Linked DNA regions of Daphnia pulex. The main gene of each other region encodes a partner of the protein of the gene in region 2 in a complex. Links are inferred from orthologs where the notes say so. Each region holds a gene or a part of one and is shown on either strand. Other genes may lie near its edges.

Region 1 (7,375 bases), on a different chromosome or scaffold from region 2:
TTTTAGCATACACACACAAACTTCGTGAACATACATGTTATTTGCTGTATAGGACCCTTTGGCTTCTGACCTTATTTTAAGTCTTACTTTGGATGGAATTCGCCTTTTATTTGATTCAGTTTCACAGCGCCTAAAAGTGATTGAGATTTTTGCCATGAATCTCATCAAACTGAAATACTGGTAATAGTAAAAATATTTTAAAATTTAGACAAGATTAGGAGAAATAATCATGCCCTATTTTGATATAGTGGCCTGGTTTTCAATTCAACTGATGTTATCCCAACCATAGATCAAATAGATCATTCTTTTGGAGCTACACACCCTGGAATATATGATCCTGAGAAAAGAATCTTTACTCTAAATTTCCGTGGCCTATCTTTTACCTTTCCAGTTGAACAGGCTAGCGAACCGAGATACGTTCGAGGACTTGGATCGCTTCAATTCACCAACGGCGCGTCTCCTATAGCAACAAAGATGTTCATTTTCAGTGGAAACAGCTTGGTTGACAGCAAACCACCTTCGCTACCGATATCCTGCTTTTTTTCTCATCCTTATCTGCAATGGCTCGAAGTTATTCGTCATAATGGATGTACATCTGGTATCAAGCTCTCCATTATTTGTGAAGGTTCGGCTCAAACATTGATAAATTTAGAAACTAACTTTCAAATCAATGTAATTTTGCGTTTTAGGTCCATCTCAAGTATTGGAACCTAGACGACATGCCTGTGTCCAGGAATTATTTTTTGGAGCTTCTGCCGAAGATGTGCTTACGCTGTTGGGAGCTCCATCTCGCGTGTTTTATAAAGTAAAATGTGCAAATATATGTACATGCACTTTATAAATTTAATTCTTATCGTCGATGGTAGGACGAAGACAAAATGAGGATTCACAGTCCACAGGCGCATCGTCGAGCTCCAGCTTCTTTTTCGGATTATTTTTACAACTACTTCACTCTTGGATTAGTATACTTAAAATTATTCTAGATTTCATTTTTAAAAGTTTCATTACAAATTTCCCGTTTTAAAAAAGGATGCTTTATTCGATGGGAAATATCACAAGTTGAAGAAGTTCGTACTGCATACGAATTATCCAGGACATTACAATTTCAATATGTAAGTGAAACATTTTGCAGTGAATGCGTGGGAGCTGGTCAATGCTTAATTATTTTTTTTTAAAATTCTCTCTCAATTAGGTATCACCGATGTGAGTTTAAGCTCCAGTTGCCGACCAAGGCCACTTCCGTCGATAATTCGAGATTGGTCGATTTATCGCCGACATTTATCACTGTTGGTTTTCAATTCACATATATGTTCTTGCGTGAAACCAATGTCATAAATTATTTACGAATGTAGGTATCTGCTTATTCACGTTGGGATGAAGTTTGCGAGAAAGTGCAGCCTAGTTCACGTCCGATTGTTTTACATCGATCGTCATCGACGAATACAACAAACCCCTTCGGTTCTACGTTCTGCTACGGGGTTGAGGATATTATTTTCGAGGTGAATAACGATTTTTAGATTCCTAAAATACTGAAAGCTTTTAATGAATTTCTCTTTTTGAATGTAAGGTGATGCCAAATAACCTTATAGCATCTGTAACGCTTTACGCATCCGATGATATCTCGCATGAATTACAATCGTAAAAGGATATTAGTCCTATAATTGGAAAATTTTATTACCAATATAATATAAACAGGATTTTTGTATTTGCCCAGGAAACAGACTGACGCCATGAATTGATCTTAAGTGCGCATCTCTTTCGTGATTGTATGTTGTTTGAACGCAAAATAATGTAATAAAACACACTAAACATTAAGCACCAATTACTTTTCCAATGTTAATGTCTTATTCAAACATTCATATAGCTAGTTTGGAGTTTGGACTAGCCTATAAGACAATCAGTTATTGTGATGGCTGTGCGTTATGAGTTCAGGAGTAAAAAAAAAGAAGTTTGAATTGATTGTTCTGATAAAAGAGTAAATTGTAACAGTGTATATTGAAATATGTGTAGCACCCTTGTAAAATTTCGAAACATAGGGTAAAAGGTCTTTGCATGCCTCCATTTTTCACGATAACTCAGAAGTCAGAACGTTTGATTTATCGCATCATCAATCTAAAAAAATAAAATAAAATAAAATAACTTATATCATGAAACTAAATGCGTCTGGTTATTCTAGAATACCACGATGATGAATAAAGAATTAACGGTACAGAAAATAAAGGTCCAAGATAGGCTACATGTATAAACGAAATAACGTGCGCTCAATAAAAATGAAGTTGTTGAATAACAATACGACTGCTAAATATTTACTATTAACACAAATGCTATAATTAATAAACTGTTCTGTAATGTTGCCAACTATCCTATACATTCATCGCGGAAATATTTTCTACAATTTGGTGACGTAGGCTAATAAGTATGGGTTATGTCGATTTGAGGACAAACCTGACTACAATGACAATAAATTACTCGTACCCTCGTAAACTTCCCGTTTACGCCCAAAAAAGAATCTGAACATATAAAGTTGCAGAAGTGAATGATAAGCTAAATAATCACTCACTTTTACTAACATCAATTTTTGTTCATGGTTAAATTCTATTTCCGTATTCTATTTTCTGGATTGTCAGGGAAAAAATATTGGAAACATGTTAAAAAAGTCGAATAGAATAGGGCAGGCACACTTTACCTCTACGACAATGCGCTGGCATAACAGACCTTCTAAAATGACTCATTTTATCTTGATTATATCGCTTTATCTTTACACGACAGATACGAAATAGATGCCCTATTGCTGTAGTTTGTTTACAGTGCGTTGTGTGCTATTACGAAAAGTTCCGTTGCTGTGTACGATTGATGCTGATCCTTGAGCAACAATATTATCAAGCAATCAGATCGCACACAAGGTGTTATACTGATTCACACAGTAGTTATATCACAGTAAAATAACATTTCATATGCAAGTTTATTCAAAAGGGAGAAGAGTTCAATCAACTGCCAGGAAAAATCAAGATATTGGCTGTTACAGAATCTCTATATGAGCAAAGAAACATACACAAACAGCAATAAGGAAGTGGTAAATTTAGTAGCTTAGGTATATTAGCTGAAACTTATACGCGGGTGTTGAGGACCATTTGAAGAAAATGTTCATATCCGATAGTAATGACACCGTCTTGATCGGTATCGAATTGACGAAACGCTGAAGTCAAGTTCTGTCATTGAAAACAATATAGATATATGAAAAAATGATACTTTCATTTAAATCATAGATATGTAAAAATCTTTCTTACATGTAAAACGATGCAACACTGAATGAAATCATCAAAATATATCGTTCCTTTTCCCATACGATCGAATTTTCGAAGCAACATATGATGAGTTCCGTCTTGCAAACGATAGCCGAAACCTATATTAACACAAAAGAACACTTAGTATATTTAAAAATTGTCAGCCAACTTTAATGACAAACTACTTGTAAGTGCTGTTCTTAGTTCATTGCCATCAATGTTCCCCGAATTATCTCTGTCAAAACTTCTAAAGCAAGTTTGCCAATCAGTGACATACTTCCAGATTGCTCCAAAATCTTCAAAGGAAATAGTTCCTCTTTGTTGACGATCAAACATACCTGTAGTAGTGCACAATTCAAAACGGAACATTAGTACAAAGGGATACAAAATTATCATTAATGCCTCTCATACAGCTGTCAAACACATACCAATCATAAGTCTAACAGTTTCCGAGTTAAATGGAGCCCATGTTCCATTGGATAGAGCTGATTGCAGCTCTTCGGCAGTTATTGCTCCACTTCTATCTTTGTCAACTCTAAAAATTTCAATAAATATATTTTAGTTGTAATTTTCTCCCTGAATTTAACCCACAACAAAATTGTTTAACCTTTGAAACACCTGCCAAAGAAAATCACGATTTGGAGCAGCTGGAACCGCACCCGGCCCTTGATAGTGCTGATAAGCCATTGTGTAGACTAAACGCGACTAAACGTTTATAAATAGAATTCACTCAAGTACAATACGTTTTTTAAACTGCCCGATACCAAAGGGTGTTATTAATAAGTAAAGGGATTTTTTTGTAGTGGCCAACAGTCAACTTAATTCACTGAGTTGCACTGAATCAACTTGATGTCTCAATCATTGATGACTCAACACTCAACAGTCAATCCAAGTCCAAAGTCGAAACCCATGAGCCATGACTGCTGTAAAATAAAGACAGGAGTCTTGGACGATAATCGACGATCCGTATGTTTAGGGCTGTGGCCCGGGACGTTTTTAGCGGGTTTTTTTTCAATGGGTTTTTTAGATGGGTTTTTCTTCTTCCGCGGGTCGGAGCGGGTTGGGCCAACTGAGTGAACGGGTTTGGCCCGGGCCAACCCATGGGTCAAAAAATTTTTACCGGTCGGGTAACGGCCCGGGTAAAAAATCGGGTCAAACACACTTTTTTTTTTACAAACTTAAAAAAATTCCCTAAATTTCTTAATTATCTTCTTCTTCTAACAGTGACACGTCAATTCTGTCTTCTGAACACCCCTGAACGCCCTTTTCTACCACTTATCCTACTTTTCATGCTACGAAATTATCGTAGAGCATTTGGCGGCAATATTTTGAGGCCGCAGGCATAGAGAATAACGAGCTTCTCTATGTGACTACTAGATGGCGCCACCGCTCGGGTTGGCCCGCGGTACCGGGAGTTCAACCCGTCGCCCGCCCCGTTAAAAAAAATGCCTCGATGGGTCGAGTCGGGTTGGGTTTTTTTTCGTTCAGCCCGGGCGGTGGCCCGGGTTTTCATCGCCCGGGCCACAGCCCTATATGTTGGCTCTATAATTTTTTTGTGGGTAAATCAGATTTTACAAAAAAAAAAAAATAGTTATTGGCTTGCTAAATGTTTCTATTACTGATAATTAATATAACGAGAAATTTAAGTATTTGTTCAGAAGAATTTGAAAAAGGGAGAAACGCCGGTGCCATCTAGGTGCCAAACATACTGAAAACCAGTTTACGCGATCGATTAGTTTATCACGATTGATCGCTTATTTTTTTCTGATCAAGAGGAAGCGGTTGACCTAAAGACCACTAATTATAAAGACCCGTGGTCTTTATCTATGACATCACACCAATTTTTCAATTTATAGAGCGTGATCGAGATCGAATCGATAATCAAATGCTAAAAAAAAAGTACGCTAAAAAATCGAGTACGCTACAGTTCGAGTCCATCCGCTATCAATCGAGTACACCACAAGTCCACAAGTTATAAACAATTTTGTTATAAATAATGGTAATAGTTTCATCAACAATAGGGTAGAAGGCCTAGAAGCATGAAAAATAATTAATTTTTGTTTTGAATCCTCCTTATAGATGTTATTCCAACCAAAAAGTAGTAGACATGCCAAAAAGTCGTGCGCAGTTTACGCCGGTGCACACCACTGCGGGTCTGCGGCCGATAGCAGAACGACAATTTTTATTACGCTTGACAGATGACGTAGGTACAATCCTTTGTTCGAGAAGCAGACAGTTCTGGAACAAAGGATTGTACCTACGTTAAGTGTCAAGCGTAATAAAAATTTCATTCTGCTATCGGCCGCAGTGGTGCGCATCGGCGTAAACTGCGCACGACTTTTACTCAGAGATAAGGAGATGGGCCACTCTGTGTAAAGTCCAGTAGTCGACTTTTTCCCCCCTCCTCCTCCTTTTCGACTGCCCTGCTCCTTTCGGCGAGCTCCGGAAGCATTTCCCAGTAGTTCTCCCCCTTCAGGACCGCCCCTACCACCAAGTAAGGTAAAGCTTCCGGAGCTCGCCGAAAGGAGCAGGGCAGTCGAAAAGAAGGAGGAGGGGAAGTCGACTGCTGGACTTTACACAGAGTGGCCCATCTCCTTATCTCTGCTTTTACTCGACTACTACTTTTAAGTTGGAATAACATCTATACAACTTTTTTTTTACTCTCCTTTGCGCCCCTTGCGGAAACCAGCTTAGTTCCACTAAATATGAAGGCCGATATGACTTCTATGGGTCTAAAATGAAGGCCAACAGATAAAACCTTCTGCTTGCTTCCGGAAGGAGCGCGGCAGTGAGAACAAAATATGGGTGCCAGGCAGAGAGGGAAAAGGGAAAAATGAGCCTCTCAGGAAATTAGTCATATCTCAACCAATAAAATCCGGAAAGAAAATTCCTTTTGGATTTTAATGGTTGAGATAGCAATAAACCTTTCTATAAAATAAGTTTCTGCTATAGCCCCTATACCTTTCAGAAAAGCGATGTCAAAGTACCCCCCATTTCTGATAAATAAAAAAAAACTCAAACTTTAACGCTTAATATCTCGTAAACGGGTGGGAATTTCGTCTTTCTGCAAACGCAAGTAAATCCGGCGTGTAGAGACAAAAATGACAACATATATTTTTTATATTTCAAATTCCTTTTCCGGATATAAATCTGGAAAGCTGCTCCGGGATTTCGGTCTACCTGAGTCATGGATCGCTTGTTAAACATGAAAATCATTTTGTCAAAATGTTAAGGGTTTTTGGTTTCTAGAAGAGTTATGACCCATGTGAGGATCGATCCATTGATATACGCCATTCCAGGCCATTTCTCTACCACCAAGATACGGATAATTTTTTTTATAACGCAATATGAGTCCCGTTCCTTCGGGGGTTTATTTACATCATTTATTACTACAACTAATTTTAAAATTCTGAAATTGGCATCAATGTCCAAAGTGCAGACGACGGGAAGTGTTGGATTGTTGTTGCGTAGTGCTAACAACGTGCGTCACCAAACAGTGAAATAATATCAGACAACTTTAATGGCGTCGTCTCAGAGAAATGGGAAATTTCGTGAGTTTCGCGGGTTGACAACTACTTCGAAACTTTTCTCGGAAATTCGATTTAAATGTTTTCCAAAAAATCCCTCATTCCCTCCTACATAATATATTACCTCCGGTTCGTCACCAGTAACAGAAAAATTATTTTCCTTTTGCCCAATTAATGAGTGAGTGTTAATGATTTGACCCGCGGAAAAAATTACGTGGAATTAAACTATTGTTAAAATATTATGGAAAAACCAATTGTGGTGGAAATTTTAATTATTATTTTTAGCATTAAGAGCAATTTAACTACAATGAAGTTCGTTTACTGCTTCTCTGCCTTTTTAACAAGCTTCTAAAGGTGCGTTTACACTGGAAGGAACGCAACGTTAATTACGGAGTATAGCGAAACTTTGTGTGACGGAGGAATCTGCAATAAAAAGTTTCGCTACACACACAAACACTACTAATAATATTATAAGATTTTTCTGTAAGCTCTCCTGACATGATAAGATGTACGCGAAGTCAAACCCGTTTTCTCAAGGTATACATAGAATATAACAATATAAGT
Region 2 (8,561 bases):
TGGCAGCAACAAACTGATCGACAAATCTCGCGAATATCAGTACCTCCATCCTTGGCTCAGCACCGGCTTGCTCACCAGCACCGGGAGCAAATGGCATGGGCGGCGAAAAATGTTAACTCCGACATTCCACTTCAAGATCTTGGAAGATTTTATCGACATCTTCAACAAGCAGAGCGTTGTGCTGGTCGAGAAATTGAAAGAGGCCCACCAGGACATGGTGGCCAATAACCGTGACAGGATCAATCTCTTCCCGTACGTGGCCCGTTGTACGCTCGACATCATTTGCGGTGAGTTTTTCTCTTTCTTGTTCTCCCGACCGGTTTGATTGCAGTAAAATCATTTGGCGTGGAATCTGATTGACTTGATGAACAGAAACTGCCATGGGTCGTCACGTCGACGCTCAGCTGAACAACGACTCCGAGTACGTCAAAGCCGTTTGCACGTGAGTGATGATTATTTCATTTTGAAAATGTGAACGGTAGCTTTCGCTTTCGTCATTAATTATTATTGACGTCATTTATATTTTGCTTTGTGGTTTGGGTGGCGGCGGCGACAGACTTGGGCGGGTTGTTCAAACAAGACAAGCACAGCCTTGGCTTCAACCCGAATTGCTGTTTCAGTGTCACCCGATGGCGAAAACCCAACAGAAATGCCTTGATATTCTACACGGTTTCACAGATAAGGTTGGTACCAATTTGAAATTTAATTCCCCTATTATCTTGATAGCTTTTTTGCCGGTCTTTATATAGTGGACTCGTTAAATCCGGTTCTCTCTACTCTTTGCACAGAATATTTTTACATAAATACGAAACCTGTTTTATGTGGTGAAATTTCAGCTCATATGGTAGAACCGTAAAATTTACATTGCGCATAGATAATGACTAGTCATTGCCAAGTTTTTGAGTCTCGTCATAAAGAGGTGCATACAGTCCGTTCTAGTTGTTTTAACTTTCCAACAAAGTCGTGAATTTGATTCTTATATTTGAATTACAGGTTCTGCAAGAGCGAAAAGCTGAGCATCGCATTCGCAAGGCTCAAGAACTTGCACAAAAAGAAAACAAGACATCTCCTACTTCCGCAGACGTTGATGACAATGTCGATTTGATAAGTAAATAATACTGATATCATCAAAAGGCACCATGTTTCTTCGGTCATTTCACGACTGGTTTTTTACCAATGCAGAAAAACCCCGACTGGCCTTCCTGGATCTGTTGATTGAAGCTTCGCAGGACGGTACGCTTCTGAGTGATTTGGACATCCGCGAAGAAGTCGATACCTTTATGTTTGAGGTGTGTTTTAATTTCCCGAAATGGAATGTTGAATGATGTAACTAATGTTGGCCAACACAGGGGCAAGACACTACCGCAGCAGCGGTCAGTTGGTGCTTGTATTTGATTGGAAGCCATCCGGAGGTACAGGAGCGCGTCAGTGAGGAACTGAATCGCATTTTTGGTACCTCCGACCGACCCATAACTATGACGGATATTCTCCAGCTGAAATACTTGGAATGTTGCATCAAAGAGGCTTTGAGGCTCTTTCCTAGCGTAGCCATGTATGGGCGAACATTGAGCGAGGATGCCACCATCCGTATGTTTGTTTCTCTTGTAAAGCGATTCATCTTTCCGCTTTTCTCTTTGATTGCTGTGCATTATTCATATCCATCACCAGCATATTTCCTGTGTAATGTTGAATAAAATTGCACCTCTTTACTATCTGACACACTTTCCCAGATGGCTACGTGATTCCGGCTGGGTCTACCGTCGCCGTTATTCCCTACTCGCTTCACAGAGATCCGGTACAGTTTCCAGACCCGGAACGTTTCGACCCGGAGCGATTCATGGGCGATAACAAACGTAGCAGACATCCTTATGCCTATGTGCCATTTAGCGCTGGACCACGCAATTGTATCGGTAATTCATTCATTCGTTTATTATTTCATAGCAAAGTATAGTTCCGTATAGTTCCTGAATTGTCCGCCAAGTTTTGCCTGGTCATCGCCCTTTTGTCTTGTAAAAGTATTACGGCACTAAATGTTTGCAGCCTCTTCTTTCCTTTGATGGCGTACACTATGTACCGTTACTTTTCAATTTATAATTAGCTATCGTTGTGCGTTTCATCTTCTAGGCCAGAAGTATGCCGTGATGGAGGAAAAAGTTGTTTTGGCCACAGTTCTAAGAAACTTTCATCTCGAGTCGTTGGAGAAGCGTGAAGACCTCGTCCTCATAGGGGAACTTGTTCTCCGGCCACGAGACGGTGTTCAAGTCCGCCTTACGCCTAAACAAATCACGCCGTCTTTTCCATCGTGTTGATCATAGCGATTACCGGTATCAAGTATATACATATAGTACATAGGAATCTAACAACCCCCTTTTTCTTTTTCTTTCATTTCCATTTTTTCCTCCGCGTTTGTTGTGTGGCGTAACTTTTGTGTAATACAAAGAATAGTTCCTTTTCTTTCTTATAAACAAATGATTTTTCTGGTCTTTAACGCATTTTTTCCACTACAAGCTGAAGGCATTGTTTTTTTGAGTTACTGAGGAGCTACAAGATATCAGATCTAGGTTTATCGGTGTTTCAAATACAAGCTTTCGATTACCGACTCTGACCGGTTGGTTTAAGTCAATTGAGCCCAAAGGTACTATAAATTTGATCGTGCTGCTTCCAAGTGAATATTGGAAATCGCCCTAAAGGTGTAGGTCCGTATAGAAAGTGAACTCCTCTTGTAGGCTACTTTTGTAGATTATTTTTTTTTCGCTCACTTTCTTTTGGTATGTTATCTTCCCCGCGTTATCATTCTAACCCAGACCTTAAACTCCAAGCCTAGAAAAAACTTTCTTTTTCATCGAATTTGTTTTATTCATGCTGCTTTCGTTCTTCTTTTTTTCATGATTTCATCGTGCAATCGTGTCATCGTGAAGTTTTGCATCGGTCACGGTGACTTTTACCAGACTCACTTTTCACTTTACCTAAAAAGTTCCCCTTTATTTAGTGCCGTTACTTTGTAATCACTGTTTCTTTATAATACATAGTGAACTATTCAAACTGCGAAGTTTCTAGTTCTTTTACAGTTTTGTTACTCGATCATTGCGGTTATTAGTTATTACAGTTTTTTTTATTTTTCAATGACATTGCATTTTTCCGGGATCAAAACATCTACCTTTTAGTCTTTTACCTTGAGTGTTTCCACTTCTGTTCGAGTTTGTTTATTTTTTACGAGTTCGTTCAACTCGAAACGTTCTATTTTAGCTATGGAAGTTGTGACGTGACTTTTGGATTTCGCCAGGCCAGAAAAAGAAAAGCCAGACATACTTTAAAGGAATTCCTTCTTTCTTTCAGTATATTTCTTTAAGATTTTTTACTTTCCATTAAAAACAAATGAAAATAGTTGCCAACACAACCGAAATGACAAAAAGTTCACATTGGGCTTTTTGAAACCAAGGGTTTTTATTTTATTTCCGCAAAGAGATATTTTTTTATTGGAAATAGTTTGAGAGTTCGACAACTTGGTCTCAAAGATTTATTACTTGGCGAGGTAAAGTGAAGTGAAAAAATTCGACAATGTCATCCCATGACTTCGTACCATAGACCTTTTCTATATATTGGTTCACAATTACAGTTCATGCTCTTCCATACTACATTAAAGCTATTTCGCAATGGGATGTCTATTTTGCTTTTTAAAATTTCTGCAGTTGGCGCCTTGGAAAAAGTGACATCTGAAAAACTGATTCTGCACTAAAGCAGTTCTTGATTCTGCCGCTAGGTATCACTAGCGTTCTTCACTCCGGCCACGTCAGCTAAGTGACAACATTGTGGACAAATTTTCTTCTCTCAACCGGCAATATTAAGAAAACCATTAGAAAATTAGTTTGATATTGAAATTTGTCATCTATCGGAGATTCTTAAGAGGTGAGTTAAAGCTAATATCAAACAACGTTCTATACTTTTTATTGATTTGTGATGAGACTGAAACAACTTCCTGGTTACAGTGGGTGTATGCCAGTCTTTGTATCAATAGTTGCCAGTTAAGAATTCAAACATTACTATCAGAATATTTCTCCCAAAAATAGATAAATGAATGTTAAATGTAAAAATATCTCGTTATGTTACCTCTTGTCTGTGCCTTACAAAATGATGATTATAGAATGAGATGATTCCTACCAAAACAAGGCATGCTGTTTGAACTGAGATTAATTGATTTTTCCGTTTTAGGCTTAGAAAATGAAAATTAAAGAAGTTGAACAAACTGCAAATATTGCATGGTCCCCTGCCTCACAGTATCCAATATATTTGGCTACGGGGACAGCTGCTCAGCAGCTTGATGCATCGTTTAGCACCACATCACAAATTGATCTATATTCATTGGATTTAAATGAACCTGGTCTTGGTATGGGATTGAAAGCTTCAATATCCACTAAACAAAGGTATATTTCAGTTTCAATAACATTACAAAAGATTCAGATACTACAAGATTTTCATCTACAGGTTTCACAAGTTGGTGTGGGGCTCACAGGGAATCACTAGTGGGGAAAATCCTGGTGGAGTCATAGTTGGTGGTGCAGATCAAGGACACATTCTTCTATTTGATGCAGATAAATTGCTGTTGGGAAAAAATGATGAAACTGGTGGATACTTATTGGCAGATAGTAAAAAACATAGTGGGGCTGTCAAGGCGCTTGACTTCAATCCCTTCCAACAAAATTTATTGGCATCGGGAGCAGCTCAGTCGGAAATTTATATCTGGGATTTGAATAGTCCTGCTGCGCCGATGACACCTGGAACGCTTTCTCAACCACCAGACGATGTTACATGCCTTTCCTGGAATAGACAAGTGCAACATATCTTGGCATCAACCTTCGCAACGCGTTGCGTCGTATGGGATTTAAGAAAGAACGAGCCCATCATCAAGGTGTGTTAGTAATTTACTTTAATTCGATCTTATTTTGTTAACTCTAATCTTTTATGGCTAACAGGTCAGTGACAGTACGTCAAGAATGCGCTGCAAGGCAGTTGCTTGGCATCCTAAAGTTGCTACCCAGTTGTGTCTAGCTTCCGAAGAAGATCAGTTGCCCGTCATTCAATTCTGGGACCTTAGGCAAGCTTCGGCTCCTATCAACACGTTTGAAGGTCATCAGAGAGGCATCCTAGCAATGGATTGGTGTCCTCAGGTTTATTTAAACATCCATATTGAAATAAACTTTTCATAACCATATTTACATTTTTAGGATCCTGACCTTCTATTGAGTTGTGGCAAGGATAACCGAGTGTTAATCTGGAATCCTAACAGCCTAGCTCCTCGTGGTGAAATTCTCTGTGAGCTGAGCACTAGCAGCCAATGGTGCTTCGATACGGCGTGGTGTCCCAGAAATCCGTCTTGCATTGCCACCGCTAGTTTTGACGGCCACGTACGAGTTCATTCCATCATGGGAGGACGAGAAGTGGCTGTGCAACCCACTGTCAACATGATTGCCGATTCTTTTCCTGGGATGGATTCTGCCCCAGCATTGCAACCACCCCAACAGCAAATTATTGTCCATGAACAACTAAAGAAGGCACCCAAATGGATTCGTCCAATCTGTGGAGCATCATTTGCATTTGGCGGAAAGCTGGTCACATTTGGCTTGGAGACTCCCAGCACCACGCCACAAGTGCACATTAGTCAAGTCATAACCGAAAATGAGTTAACACTACGTTCCCATGAGCTAGAAACAGCTCTAAATACTGGAAATTTGGCTGAATTTTGCGTCAAGAAAATGGAATCCGATGGCGAACACAAGGAGGCATGGAACTTCCTGGCGGCAAACTTTAGCCCAGCTCCCCGACAGCAGTTGCTGCAACTGTTGAACTACGAACCCCAGCCAACTACTTCTGAAGATGGTGTAGTCGACGCATTGGAAGGTTTGGGAATGCCTGACACATTCGATTCTATCGCTGCGGAAGTCAAAACTTTCAAAATCCCTACCGACGAATCTGTTGACGGCAAGATCAGCAAAGCTTTGATCACTGGCAACCTAGCTGTGGCAGTAGATCTTTGTTTCAACGATAAACGTTATGCAGATGCCATTGTGCTGGCCATGACTGGGCCACCGGAGCTGCTGACCGCCACTAGAAACCGCTATTTCCGTTTGACACAGGGTGACGTTCCGCGTCTGATCCAAGCTGTTGTCACTCGGGACTGGGAAAAGATCGTTCAACATTGCGATATGAGCAACTGGAAGGAAGCATTGGCTGCAACGCTGACCTACGCAGAAGATAACGAATTTGCCAACCTTTGTCAGACAATTGGTCAGAGGCTCGAGGCCGAAACAGGAGCCACAAACGAAGCAGTTCTTTGCTACATTTGCGCTGGAAACATGGAGAAAGTAGTCGACTGTTGGCTGCGAGTCGAGGATGATTCAACGGCATCCCTACAAGAGATGGTAGAACAAATCATGGTCCTTCGCCAAGCTCAGCGACACTGGGGTCGTCAACCTGTGGCTATTAATTCAGGTCACCTTACCCAACAACTTTGTCGTTACGCCGGACTCTTGGCTGGCCAAGGCAGTCTGGAAGCAGCACTGACTTATCTCGATATGTCGCAGGTAAAAATAAAATTCTCTTGAACGCATTCACGATCTAGACGTTAATGTTTTTGTTTTGTCTTGTTTCATGTAGGACGATTCGATGGTAGAATTAAAGGACAGACTTCAACGCGCATTGAATCCGGTCGACCGTAAGGTTTCTACCGGAATGATGAACGGTGCTTACAGCATGGCATCGCAACAGCAAAAGGCTGGGCCGCTGCAGCGATACCCATCGGTTGGAATTAATAGGTCTTCTACACCAACAAACAGCTATTACGGTCATCAGGATCAATTTAATTCAGCTCCAGCTGTGCCAGCCTATCCCCCGAAACCTACAACTCCATTCCAGGGCAATAATTGGGCAACGTCCACTAATACTTACAACTCTCCTCAAGCAGCGACTTCGATGCCTCCAACGGCCAATACACCTGCACCACCTCCAAGTGGCCAGCCTGTACAACAATTTTACCAAGCTCCGAGTGCCCAGCCTTTGCAACAATTTCATCAGTCCCCGAGCATCCAGCCTTCGCAGCAATTTCATCAACCTCCAAGCGTCCAGCCTTCGCAGCAGTATCATCAGCCTGCTCCACCACCGCCTGCAGCAGCTACGGTGGCCCCTCCCCCGATAACAGGGAATGTTTCGCGCTTGGGATCACTGAATCAACGTAACAGAGTTTACGTCCAGGATCCTAGCGTTTCCAGTGGTCGATCTGGTGGATATTTCAACGCTGCGTCGAATTCACAATTCCAGCAAGTCAATCAGATGGGTTACATGTCCCAGCCACCACAATCGAATTCGGCGATGTTCCAACCTACTGGTCAGTTCAACACTCCGTCATCTTACGCGCAACAGGGCGGTTTTCCTGGAAATCAGTTTAACCAGCCTTTACCGCCCTCCCCTGGGTCGTTCAATATGCAAAGCGGGCAGATGTCTAACGGCGGAGTAATGGATAATGTCCAACAGCCTCCATCTCTTTACAATCCAATGGAACACGCTCAAGCGCCGCAGCAACAAAGCGCATTTATGCAACCAACATCATTTGATGCTCCACCATCTATAACTCCTCCGTTGGCTACCAATCTCGTGCCCTCCGTACCATTTCTTCCCACCGCGAGCGCGCCTCCTGGTTGGAACGATCCACCTCCTCTAACGTCGTTCGCTAAAGTGAAAGCTGAGCCAGCTGTCATTGAAACTATCAATCACCCCATGGGTGTTGTGGAACAGCCAGCCATTCCCATTATTCAGCCTTTCGAAGGGTCATTCAATCAAGGAGCAATGAATGCTCCAGTTGATATGATTCAAAACCAACACCACCAGCAGGCGCCTGAGCCAATCCAGCCAGCCCAAGCCTTGCTTCCGATTCCAAACGAACACTTAATCATTCACGATGTATTCCACACGTTGAAAGATAAATGTGCCGCACTAGCCTCCAATGCGGTGAGAAACTACTAGAATTATATTATCATGACGAGATCATTATTTTATAATTTTTTTTTTCTTTTTAGCAATTGAAGAGAAAGCTAGACGATGTAGGAAAGAAGCTAGAGTGCCTGGATGATCTGTTACGGAAAAATATGGTAATTCATCAACTATATTCAATATTTTTTGGTAAAGCTAATGTTCGTAAAATTTATTGTAGTTGCTGAGCCCCACCCTTTTGGGGTTACATCAGATTGTGCAAGCTGTTCAGGCGTACGATTACGCGACCAGTCTTAGTCTACACTCTAATGTGGTGATCAATACGCCCTTCACCGAAATCGGATCGTTCATATCTGGTTTAAAAGTGCTTCTCCAGATGGCTCAGCAACTGGGAGTCCAATACCAGTAGCAACATTGGGGGAAAAGAAAGATTTTTTTTCTATGAGATATGATATCTAAAGTCTGATTTGTGCTCGCATGTTAGGCAGAAAAGTTGGCTTCGTCGCTCCACACTTCGTTTCTCTTGATGTGTGTGTAGTTAATACCTTCCCCCTTTTCTTTAACCAGAGAATTCATTAAAA

What was found. The genes of interacting proteins can lie anywhere in the genome.
Region 1: the proteins of protein transport protein Sec31A-like (region 2) and programmed cell death protein 6-like are in contact, whole or in part, in a crystal structure (PDB 3WXA), measured with the Homo sapiens proteins. The link is inferred for Daphnia pulex from reciprocal best matches to the Homo sapiens genes SEC31A and PDCD6. Residues at the interface, in NP_001070675.1 of Homo sapiens: Asn837, Pro838, Pro839, Pro840, Pro841, Gly842, Phe843, Ile844, Met845; in NP_037364.1 of Homo sapiens: Val31, Val35, Leu48, Ala51, Leu52, Ser53, Asn54, Gly55, Thr56, Trp57, Phe85, Trp89, Ile92, Gln96, Phe99, Phe148.

What each region holds. Positions count from the first base shown.
Region 1 is NC_060019.1:5,645,320-5,652,694, reverse strand, and holds programmed cell death protein 6-like, read right to left. Parts: upstream 4,248-7,375; 5' UTR 3,972-4,247; coding exon 3,892-3,971; intron 3,820-3,891; coding exon 3,713-3,819; intron 3,623-3,712; coding exon 3,470-3,622; intron 3,404-3,469; coding exon 3,288-3,403; intron 3,210-3,287; coding exon 3,108-3,209; 3' UTR 2,944-3,107; downstream 1-2,943. Other genes in the region: PHAF1 protein CG7083-like, read left to right, coding at 53-180, 249-625, 690-805, 867-962, 1,030-1,112, 1,193-1,286, 1,353-1,499, 1,568-1,638 and 1 more. UniProt on the Homo sapiens protein: Calcium sensor that plays a key role in processes such as endoplasmic reticulum (ER)-Golgi vesicular transport, endosomal biogenesis or membrane repair.
Region 2 is NC_060028.1:9,227,553-9,236,113, reverse strand, and holds the start of protein transport protein Sec31A-like, read left to right. Parts: upstream 1-3,756; 5' UTR 3,757-3,906; intron 3,907-4,209; 5' UTR 4,210-4,218; coding exon 4,219-4,421; intron 4,422-4,482; coding exon 4,483-4,906; intron 4,907-4,970; coding exon 4,971-5,165; intron 5,166-5,222; coding exon 5,223-6,578; intron 6,579-6,651; coding exon 6,652-7,998; intron 7,999-8,066; coding exon 8,067-8,138; intron 8,139-8,200; coding exon 8,201-8,389; 3' UTR 8,390-8,561. UniProt on the Homo sapiens protein: Component of the coat protein complex II (COPII) which promotes the formation of transport vesicles from the endoplasmic reticulum (ER).